3 linked regions of the Danio rerio genome follow. The main gene of each other region encodes a partner of the protein of the gene in region 3 in a complex. Links are inferred from orthologs where the notes say so. Each region holds a gene or a part of one and is shown on either strand. Other genes may lie near its edges.

Region 1 (2,781 bases), on a different chromosome or scaffold from region 3:
TTTTTCACTCCAGATCTCTGATTATTTTGTTTATAAATGACTCTGGATATGTTTCTGTTTCTGCTGGAAACTGGACATGAAAGAGTTTATAATTGTTTGGTTATCAGGAAAACAGCACATGAAAAGTGTGTTAGTTCAAACGCTGTTTTGGGACATTGATGCTGCATAAATCATTCATTTCTCACCTGTCTGATGCTTTCATACACATACACATACACACACACACATACACACACACACTGCATGTGGGTCAGAGACACAAGGATTCTTTTTCTATACGATGTTTCAAATATATATGAGAAGAAACTACAAACATTGACTTGGATGCACTTTGATAATATGATAATCATGTTTTTTACTTTTTGGATTTTTATTTATTAATATTAAATTAGTTTTTATTTTTTTATTTTTTAAAGTGTGAAGTAAAAAATGTCAGTATTATAACTATACTGATAAAACAGAAAAAAACATGTACATCCTAACTTTAAATTTTTTTAGAGATTTTTTTAAATGTATCTTTTAAAATGCTGAATTAAAATTAATAGATATATTTTTATATTAAATAAAAAACATTTATTAAAAAATGTAAAGTATGACCATTCAAAAATCATTTGAATGATTTGAAATATATGTCATAGAAGATAATAATAATATTTACTATTATTATTATTATTATTATTACTATTATTATTATTATTATTATTATTATTATTATTACTATTATTATTATTATTATTATTATTATTAATAATAATACTAACAATATTATTATTATTATTATTATTATTATTATTATTATTATTATTATTATTATTATTATAAAACCACTGTAAATATTAAAAAATATTAATATAAATCTTAATTATAGCATAGGAAGATAATAATAACAACAATAATAATAATAGGCATTGTTTTTATAATAATCGTAAAGGGATTCAATATTATTTAATATACTATTGTCAAAATAACATTGTAGACAATTATCATTAATATTAATAATTTCCCCTGTACGGTGGATTTTTGTATATGCTAACATGTATAAATGATGTTTAATGATGTACAGGGCTCAGCATATATAAGTACATCCCTTACAAATCTATCTTTTAAATTCATATTTTTTATAGAAAGCTACAAAGAATATTATTTGTGCATATACATTACATTAGTCAGTACTGAAGCCAAATCTGGTGCTTATCTAACAAAATAACTTACGATAACGGTCTAAAAACTAGTACATCAAATTTATGTCACAAATACAAATTTCAAAAAGAGGAAAATATAAGAGTAGCAAAAAAATAGAAAAATGTATTTTTTTTTATTGTATTACCTTTCAATTTCTAAATATGTTTGGTGACTAAATATTATTTTAATAAATGTATCTGTTTGATAAATCAGTTTGTTTAACTGCACCAAAAAATCCATATCCTATCTTCTCTAAGAAATGGATAAAAATATTCATTTTCAAAATGGGGTGTACTCAATTATGCTGAGCCCTGTATATCATGATGTTTATCTATCTCTATATGTGCTCTATTTCTGTGCAGGCGGCCCGTGCGAAGCTGGCAGTGTTGCCGGTGGCAGGAGCGGTGGTCGGGGGAGTGTTAGGGGGGCCGCTGGGACTCTTAGCAGGGTTTAAAGTGGCGGGGGTCGCCGCTGCCTTTGGAGGTGGACTGCTTGGTTTTGCCGGCGGAAACTTGATCCAACGCAAAAGGAAAGAAAGAATCGACCTGCAGCTACAAGAGCTTCACAGCAACAACAACAGTAAGAACGACACTCAGTGACACGTTTGTTTTCGTGGAGGAATCCATGAGACGGCAGACTTAGACGACCCACGCGTGTTCTCAAATAAACAGCAGACGCTCGTGAACGTACATGCAGAAATCAACCACATCTGCACAGTAACTCCTACATGCAGTGCAAACATGCACATGCAAGTGGACCTGCTAATTTCCCTTTTGCCTTAATTCAACATTTTGTTCTATGCCAAAGCAAACAGGGCCATATGATCTGCTGCTAAACAGCTGATTGACCTTTGAAGCAGTAATAGAAGTGTTAGAAGTGGTTAGAGATTCTAGGTTATGGATGTACAAGGCGGGTACGACTGTGCTAGATTCTCTTATTTCAAACTATTGTACAGTATGATCTATTATACATGGTGAACATCTGTGGTAGGTGACATACTCCTGTTTACAACAATTATGTAGGTTTTTTTGTGCTAAAATTATATTATCACGTATAATTCCATTATAAAACGCATACAATTGGGATGAAAGGCTGAGATTGTCTTTTATTTTTGTCAATGGGTTATGAATAGATGATGATGGGTACTTTATAAGGTCTTGGCAATGCATAGTAGTGAGAATCACTTTAAGAATTAACATTATAAACTATAAACAATCATTAATAGAAATTATAAAATGAAAAATAACATTGTTTCCATAACTTGCTTATAACCTTTTACTTACTTTGCCATAATGATATTTTGATAGACATTTCAGATCATCTCAGGGTGCTTTCAATCAATACAATTTCAAAGTGACTTCAATGCCTTGTGATAACACTTAATATTCATAATGGATAACTATAGAGAAGTCAAATTATTTGTTTATATATTATTTTTGTTACATTTTTTGTGGCAAAATATTCAGTGTAAGGTTAGTTCAGTTATAACTGCACATTGAAGAAAACATTTTACTTTTTGGGTAATTATTTGCGATATTTTACTATAAGTGTGGAAATGAAATGTTATTTCTTATGGTCTTATTTTATTTTAAAGCAATT
Region 2 (4,281 bases), on a different chromosome or scaffold from region 3:
ACTCATCTTATGAAATTGTATTTATATCATATATATTGCAGAATAAAACAAATTGCAATGTGTAATATTTCCATCCCTTATTCTCACTGTTCCTGTTCATTAAGGGGAAAAAGTGATCTAAATATTTCAATTTTGTTTATCCATTCACTGTACATTTTTTTTTTTTGTAGGCTTCCCTCTGCCATGGCTACTAATCTGTCAGTACCCTTGGCTTTCGTGGCCCTTCTGCACTTGGCTAATGAGAAAGTGAGTACTTTAAAATAGTTCAACGCTTACTATAGACGAAGATCTAATAAATATTCAGTGTTGATTTACTGTTAGCATGCTGTCTTGTTTAAACTTGTTTTTGTAACCTGCATGTAGAAACCTATTGTTTGTGTATTTAATTGCTGTGAATCTAAAAGTGGTTCTTTCCATCAACAGAACTTGGAGCTGCACAAAATTGATGGCATGACTGATATCATCATTAAACAAGGCCACTGAAAATCTGACACAAATCTTTTATGCACAAATTGTCATTTGTATCAAAATGTAAATCCGCTTTCTTTTGTTCTCCATGGCATGTAAAAATACAAATGTCGGGACAAAACAGTATAGCCAAGAGGAGGAGGAGGAGGAGGAGGATGATGACGGTGGTGTCAGGATTATGATAATGTTGTACAGGGAAATACCAAACCACAGACTTTTTTATTGATATATATATATATATACACACACACAAGTGAAAGTGAAAGATGTCAGAAGCATTCACCAAGAGGAAAAAACTCAACATGGTGCAGTTTGAATAATGTTTGCTTTTAAAATCAAGCGTTTTGATAACTTTAGCAGCTTCAGTAAAAAGTAAAAATATTAATGTGCTGTTTTCAGTGTCACTGTTTTTTTATTGCATTATTTAAATTGTAAAACATAATTTCTTAACTTTGAGGTTTCTTTTAGATGTGTATTGTACATACCATTTTCAAAAATAAAACGTGTTGTCACATTTATGCTTGGTTTTGTGTCTAGTATGATTTTTTTTTAAATAGAATAATGCTTTAAATGCATGCAATGCCAAAGGCGTTTAGGTGGAGTTGTTGAAGACGTATTGTGTTTCATGCATAGGAATTGAACTATTTTAACTTTGTTTTTAAGCAGTTTTCATCATGCTTGAAATTATAAACTTCTATAAATACCACTGAGTTTAATCACACATCAGTACTTTTAGAAAACTCACTCTAATCCGGTTTTACAAGACGCTTCTCATACCTGCCGGGAAGACGTCTAGATGGCATGATTATAGTATTTGCACTCACCTTACAGGTGTGTTTGTGAGATGAACCCGGCGCCATCTTGAGGATGCTATGGGAAGTGTCGCATCAGAGGTGGGCCAAAGCCAAGTCATTCGCTGCTGGAGGAAGAGTGAATTAGAGACCAGGAAGTGTTGACACGGCGTACATCTATCGGTTACACTAGAAAACAGTTGCAAACATTTTAATTCTAAAGGATAACGTGTATTTTTTATATTGTGGAGTAAATAAAAAGAAGCTGGTGAAACTATGGGTGTAACTGATCCAAACAGTACGGTAAGTCACTAATTTTAACAACAGTCAGCAGGTGCTTTTTGTTGCATCGTTTTTAAGTTTATAGTTAACAAAACTGTGCGAACTTAATTTCTCTTGATATCTGTGCGAATGTTACTTTTAGTGGTGCAAACATTAGAACAAGTCAGTGTGTGTGCGTGTCTTGTTTTTCACCGGTTGGTGTTAGTTTGACGCACTCCAAACAGGGCGAAGCTTGTTTTTCAAGTTTTACTTAAGTTTCTACGTTCCTGTTGTCAGCAAATGTAGATAATTTGCTTGGTTATCTTATACAAATGTAATGTTTAAATAACACATTTATACTTGAGATTAGTACCGTTTATATTGGAATTTTCTTGTACTGATTTGTTTACTCAGATGGATTGAATTTACCTTGAGCTTCGAAGCATAACCGGTTTGCATGATACTGTTGAGCTCCACTCTTACTGAATGGGCCCTCAGTTTAGAAATATATTCACAATAACTTCAGCTTGCAAATGTGCTGATAACATAACACATCTCTTTGACTGTTAAACTGAACCAGAAGTGTTAGGTCCTCCTGCTCGTTTGCTTCAGATCAGGTTGGTCAACTGTCAACACTTGGTTTTAAAATCATTTCACAAGTTCCACTCACAGTGTAGAGACTAACGTTACTTCGATGTATGTGGCATTGTGGTTAAGATAAAGTTTGTCTGTAGTGTTTTAAATAAATAATATATTCAATTTGTCATTTGAATGCTGGTCCTTGAAGGAAGCAAGCATGTCGTTGTTTAATACAAATATTAAAGAAACTCAAGTTTAAGAAATGGAAAATTACTTACCCTTGTTGCAAACCTGTTTGATTTTTCTTTCTTACATAAAACACACAGATATGTATTTTGAAAAAAGCTGGAAACCTGTAACCATTGACTTGCATAGTATTTGTTTTTCCTTCTATTGAATTCAGTGGTTACATGTTTTTGGCTTTCTTTCAACAGAAGACACTCAAAGGTTTGGAACTAATTGAGGGTGACTAAATAGTGAGTAAATGTTCTTTTTTGGGTGAACTTTTCATTGAAGATGATTGTTTATCCCATTATATATCTTTGATACATTTAAGTTTTAATTAAAAAAAACAGTTTCAACAAAACATACTTGCGGTTCACATAATACCAAATTATATTCTTTTTAATTATCATGTTGTTTCTGTCACATTATAAAGTGGATCGCACACATCACACTATTTTGCCACAATATTGGTACCTCGAACTGCCAGTATCAGATGTTACCTAATAGCTTTCTGCCATCCTGTAGGTCTTGTGACACCAACACACACACACACACAAAGAGAGAGCCATTGAGTATAATAGAAGGGCAGGACAGGTAGTGACGCAACAATGCTTTTGGTTTCCTGGTAACTCCTTTTGTTTATGAGGTATCTGCCGAACAGGAGAGCTTAAATGTGTTTAAAATGGCTGAACGTGTAAAAAGCACAGAGAGTTTACTCTTAAGACACAAATTGCACAATTAACGGCTAAAGATTGCTTCCATGAGACTTGTTCTATGTTTAAGTGTAGCAGTATTTTATTGGTGCTTTAATGTGTGAATGTGGTTAGGCTTTCTTGTTTGGTTTTGCGAGTATCACACATAAGGTGCCACATCTACACTACAGGCGAATTATACTGTATGATGTCTTGGAGTTGTTTTTATTTGGATTAAATATTCTGTCAAATGCAATTGAGTCACACAAATTCAGTTTGTTGTATTTGAATTATATTTCAGAATGTTAAAATTGGCATTCATCCAATCCTATTAATGCAATGTCATAAAATACTTTTCATTTCTCTAAAATACTTCAAATTTACAATACTTTAAGTAAAGCAGTAAATACTTTTGAAGAAGAATGTTGATGTTATTGCATGCCTTTTACATGTGTAAATATATCGCAGTGTTGCACACATACTGTACACATCATGTTGGATATATTGGATCTTTCCATGCTCAACATCTAAAAACCAAATGATCAAATAAATTATTATCAAATTAATTATTAAACCAAATTCAAATTGTGTGCTGCACATTTAAGATTATACAGTATATTAAAAATAAATACATTTGTAAAGTAGTTGATATAATTCTCTAGTAAACCAATGTAGTACTAAGCTCCGATATCTCTTGACCAATAATGGACAATGTTGAACATTAATGTTTGTACTTAAAAATGCACTCTATGTAATACCGTTGACCTTCGTACACTTTCTAATCTAATGTCTATCTTCTTTCATTTATTAATTTTCTTGTCAGCTTAGTCCCTTTATTAATCTGGGGTCGCCACAGCGGAATGAACCGCCAACTTATCCAGCACATTTTTACACAGTGGATGCCCTTCCAGCCACAACCCATCTCTGGGAAAAATGTCTATCTTATCCTTTTTAAATAAAACTTCCTAGCTCTGACTTTCTTCTTCAAATACACTTTTATTTGTTCTAATACTGTCTATAGAGGTTGATCTACTTCTAGCACTAACAATCTGTTTTCTGTACTTTTTTCTTTTCTAAATAATTTGGCCTTCTGGCATAACGCAGTTTTCTTTTTCTCTCTCTCTCTCTCTCTCTCTCTGTCAATTCAAATCAATTAAATTCAATAATTGTGTTATTTGCATGACAATTGTAAGAAATGTATTGCCAAAGCATTCATAAACTTTACTTTAAAAAGAACATGCTTGTAACAAATAAGGAATGGTTAA
Region 3 (4,140 bases):
CTTATTGGCTCTTGACACTGATGGATATTTACACTGCTGATGGGGAACAGTAAAATATGAATTCAATTTAAGCTTGATTAAAAGACATAAGAAGGTAAAGTAATAATAATAACAATAATAATAATAAATAATATATTTTTTATTTTATATTCAATGTTTAGTAAAGTAAAGCTTTCTTAATAGTTATTAATAATTTATAAATAATGAAATAAATTATTATTGCTCTAATTACCACTGCTAATTATTATAATTATCATTACAATAGTATATTTAATTAGTATAAATTGGGTATAAATGTATAATTAAACATCATATTATATTATATATAATATGTAAAGTGGTTTATAAAAGATTGAAAATAATTAAAAAATGTTTTATTACAATACAAATACAATAATACTAGTTAAAATACAATAATAATATTATTAATAATAATAATAATAATAATAATAATAATAATAATAATAATAATAATAATGACAATTCGTAGTAGTAGAAGTAAAATTAAAAAATAGATAAATTTATCAACTATTATTAATTATAGAAACAATATAGATAATAATTATAGGGACAATATAGATGTTTAACCGTGATAAACATCATATAATATTATATGGTATAACTAATATGTTTATGTTTTATGGATATGTTTTAATAATAACAATAATAAATATAATAACTATTATTAATATCTAACTATTATTAAATTTAACAATAAAAAATAATGATTAATACATGTATAAAAATATAAACATAATAGTCATAATCGTAATTAAAGCAGCACAGTTAATATTAGTAGAAATGATATATTGTTATTATTTTAATACTTATTACTTACAGCAATAATAATACATTCATATTATAATTTAGAAAAGTATATAAATATTAATAATAATTATTAAAAATAAATATAATAATTATATACTACTAATAATGACTTTTGTTTTGTTTTTTGCTGTTATTATTAATATTTTTATCATTATTATTATTATTATTAATAATAATAATAATAATAATAATAATAATAATAATAATAATAAATGAATAATAATTTTTTAAATATTTAGCCTTTTATTGTTGTTCTGGAACAATTACAGTTTATTATCTGTCAAGGAAAAACAGAAAAGTACAAACGTGGGCTTAAACACTGATCTCTATATAGAATGACTATTTTCTATGTTCTCTATCCATACGGATCGTCATCTGGCACACATGATTTATAGATCAGTAGTGTTGCGACAAAGTGGAGCCAATATATGACGTCACCGTGACACCACCGGAAATCGTCCGAGCAGAAGCGTCAGCTGATAACAGGAGAACAGAACAGAACACTTCACCTTTTCCAGCGACCAAAGGTACAAATTCAGCGATAAAACGTTCAAAATATAGTTTGAGAGTTATGTTAAACACGCGATTTATGTTATTAAATATAACGTAGGTCATTTGTAGAGTCTGTGTTAGGTAATATAACGTACTATAGCCGAGAAAGAAAACAGTAACAGGCGACTTTCTACAGCATATTCACCTGAAATGTCGTTAAATGTTGAAGATTATATAGGATAATAACTGTTGTAAATGTTATTATGCTCAGTCTGTATATATGATTGTTTGTCGGTGAGCATTTGCCAGATATAATAGTTTATTCAGGACAAACTTCGTCCATTTATCAAGATCTATTTAACTATTAACAGAAAGTACCGTCTTTTTAACGTTTACCATTAGCTATAGAGCTACATCTGCCTTATATTTAATCTTTTACAGCAGAGCAAATTAAAATTTAGCATTGTACAACCTTTTGATCTTCCACAACCTTTTTATTTCAGCTTAAATATCTGTATTATTTGGTCCTTATGTTTTAGCTTATTACTCCTATATACTGTGGTAAAACATAGAGGTAAAGTTGGTTTTATATTCGCACATTTGGACTTTCCCCTAATAATATAACTTCATCAAAGTATTATTTGCAAACTCTAAATAGCGAAATCAAATTAGCAGCCAATGAATGAAAGTACAACATTGTTCACAGTCAAATAAACAGTGTTAATGTTGTTTTCAAGTCATACTTACATGCATACATATACATATTCAAAGTAACACGGTAAACAATATGAAGACAGCTAAATGAACGAATATGTGAATATAAAACTAACTTTACCTCTATTGGTAAAACAGTGTTGTGTTTTCTTTAATTTATACAGGGCTGGGCCAAAATACATTGAAATGTATTTTTAAATCAAATACCAATTATCTTAAGGTAAAGTGTATCAAAATAAACTACAAAATACAGCAGCCACAAAGTTTTTTTTTTTTTTTTGCTATTGAGTATTGATTTTTGCTTCAATACTCAATGTAAAAGCTGTGTTAGATGTTTTTAATTATTAATTATTTGTTTTTCATATGTTGTGACATTTTACAATTTGCATCTTTTCTCTTCATTAACTGTACAGTGCACCTACTGATCAACTACTGGCATTTGAAACAGCCAATGCAGTTTTGTAGCAAATGTATATATATATATATATATATATATATATATATATATATATATATATATATATATATTTATATTTAGGTATGTATGTATCTCTTAACGACAATGTCTGTCATCAATAATTTACAGAACAAAAAAGGTTTTACTCAAACAATTACCTATATATTAGCCAAAAGGTCCATATTTTTTAACATAATTTTAGAAGAGGTAAGAAATCAATATTTGGACCAATCTGAACTTTTAGTGGGCGGCACTGTGACTCAGTGATTAGCACTGTGGCCTCACAGCAAGAAGGTCGCTTGTTTGAGCCCTGGCTTGGTAAGTTGGCATTTCCGTTTGTAGTTTGCAAGTTCTCCCTGTGTTGGTGTGGGCTAGTCCAACCACATGCGCTGTAAGTGAATATAATAAGCTAAACTAGCCGCAGTGTATGTGAGTGTGTGTTCGTGTTTCCCAGTATTGAACTGTGGCTGGAAGAGCATCCGCTGTGTAAAGCAAATGCTGGAATAGTTGGCGGTTCATTCTGCAGTGGCGATCTCTGATTAATAAAAGGACTAAGCCGAAGGAAAATGAATGAATGAACTTTTAGTGTCAATTAAAACAGTATTATTCTTAATTGGACTACATGTAAACATTGCTATTTGGCATATATCTATTGGTTGAACAGCTCAGCTCTGTCTTCTGGCTCCAGCACAGGATGTCTGCCTACCCCAAATCCCACAATCCTTTCGCTGATGATGATGAAGAAGAGGACTCGCGCACGGCTCCGAGGAGAGGCTTTAACTTCGATGATGATCCGGAGGAGAGTTCGCTGAGTCCGGCAGAGAGAAGGCAAAGGCAGCTGCAGCAGGAAGTGATGCGTACAGCTCAGTCCGCCGTGGACAGCAGCCACCGCTCGCTCGGACTTATCTACGAATCAGAGAAAGTCGGTGCTGAAACCGCAGAGGTGAGACCAAGAACATACAGTTGAAGTCAGAATGATTCTTCCACCTGTGAATTTCTTCTTCAGATATTTCCCAAATTATGTTGATTAGACTAAGGAATTTTTCACAGTATTTCCTATAATATTTTGTCTTCTAGAGAAAGTCTTATTTGTTTTATTTCGGCTAGAATAAAAGCAGTTTTTAATAATTTTAAATCCATTTTAAGGTAAGTATTATTAGCCCCCTTAAGCAATATTAGTTTTGGATTGTCTCCAGAACAAACCACTGTAAAACAATGACTTGCCTAATTACCCTAACTTTTCCCTAATGAACCTTGTTAAGCCTTTATTTATTTATTTATTTATTTAAATTTTATGTTTACTGTGAGCATTCAATTGAGTACAATCATACAGCATTTCAAGGTACATTGGTATCTCAGTATGTGACCTTGAGTTGTATAAAAATTACGTACATTATTGTCAGGTGTATTTACTACACAGAAGTACTCAAATTTTGGAAATTATAAAATGAAAAACAGCATAAAGAGAGAAGAAAAATAAAAAAAATAATAAGAAAAAGAAAATAAAATTAAATATAATAATCAAAAATAAATAGAAATAAAGCACTTTTTACATCCAGGCTAAGAATGCATGTCATAATATAGCTCCTTCCAGAATAACCTCAACTGACCATCTTCATTATACACATAGGGATGTCACACAAGTATCT

What was found.
Region 1: the proteins of snap29 (region 3) and stx17 are in contact, whole or in part, in a crystal structure (PDB 4WY4), measured with the Homo sapiens proteins. The link is inferred for Danio rerio from reciprocal best matches to the Homo sapiens genes SNAP29 and STX17. Residues at the interface, in NP_004773.1 of Homo sapiens: Arg52, Thr56, Ser59, Thr60, Arg62, Ser63, Leu66, Glu69, Ser70, Val73, Gly74, Ser77, Glu80, Leu81, Gln84, Val87, Leu88, Thr91, Met94, Val95, Lys97, Met98, Asp101, Leu102, Ile104, Ser105, His108, Ile109, Ser111, Ile112; in NP_060389.2 of Homo sapiens: Glu170, Trp172, Glu173, Leu175, Glu176, Leu179, Ile180, Ser183, Val186, Thr187, Phe189, Ser190, Val193, Asn194, Gln196, Gln197, Ile200, Ile203, Ala204, Val207, Asn208, Ala210, Ala211, Val214, Glu215, Thr218, Leu221, Gly222, Ala224, Ala225.
Region 2: the proteins of snap29 (region 3) and vamp8 are in contact, whole or in part, in a crystal structure (PDB 4WY4), measured with the Homo sapiens proteins. The link is inferred for Danio rerio from reciprocal best matches to the Homo sapiens genes SNAP29 and VAMP8. Residues at the interface, in NP_004773.1 of Homo sapiens: Leu206, Leu209, Ser210, Leu213, Leu216, Lys217, Ala220, Leu221, Met223, Gln224, Ile227, Glu228, Gln230, Asp231, Leu234, Leu237, Thr238, Val241, Asp242, Leu244, Asp245, Ile248, Lys249, Thr251, Glu252, Val255, Arg256, Leu258; in NP_003752.2 of Homo sapiens: Leu16, Glu19, Val20, Val23, Ile26, Met27, Gln29, Asn30, Arg33, Ile34, Arg37, Asn40, Leu41, Leu44, Lys47, Thr48, Asp50, Leu51, Thr54, Ser55, His57, Phe58, Thr61, Ser62, Val65, Lys68, Phe69.

What each region holds. Positions count from the first base shown.
Region 1 is NC_133191.1:30,526,110-30,528,890, forward strand, and holds the end of stx17 (syntaxin-17), read left to right. Parts: intron 1-1,544; coding exon 1,545-1,781; 3' UTR 1,782-2,272; downstream 2,273-2,781. UniProt on the Homo sapiens protein: SNAREs, soluble N-ethylmaleimide-sensitive factor-attachment protein receptors, are essential proteins for fusion of cellular membranes.
Region 2 is NC_133180.1:28,878,122-28,882,402, forward strand, and holds the start of vamp8 (vesicle-associated membrane protein 8), read left to right. Parts: upstream 1-1,452; 5' UTR 1,453-1,535; coding exon 1,536-1,562; intron 1,563-4,281. UniProt on the Homo sapiens protein: SNAREs, soluble N-ethylmaleimide-sensitive factor-attachment protein receptors, are essential proteins for fusion of cellular membranes.
Region 3 is NC_133183.1:3,058,380-3,062,519, forward strand, and holds the start of snap29 (synaptosomal-associated protein 29), read left to right. Parts: upstream 1-1,278; 5' UTR 1,279-1,355; intron 1,356-3,155; exon of another isoform or gene 3,156-3,184; 5' UTR 3,185-3,185; coding exon 3,186-3,434; intron 3,435-4,140. UniProt on the Homo sapiens protein: SNAREs, soluble N-ethylmaleimide-sensitive factor-attachment protein receptors, are essential proteins for fusion of cellular membranes.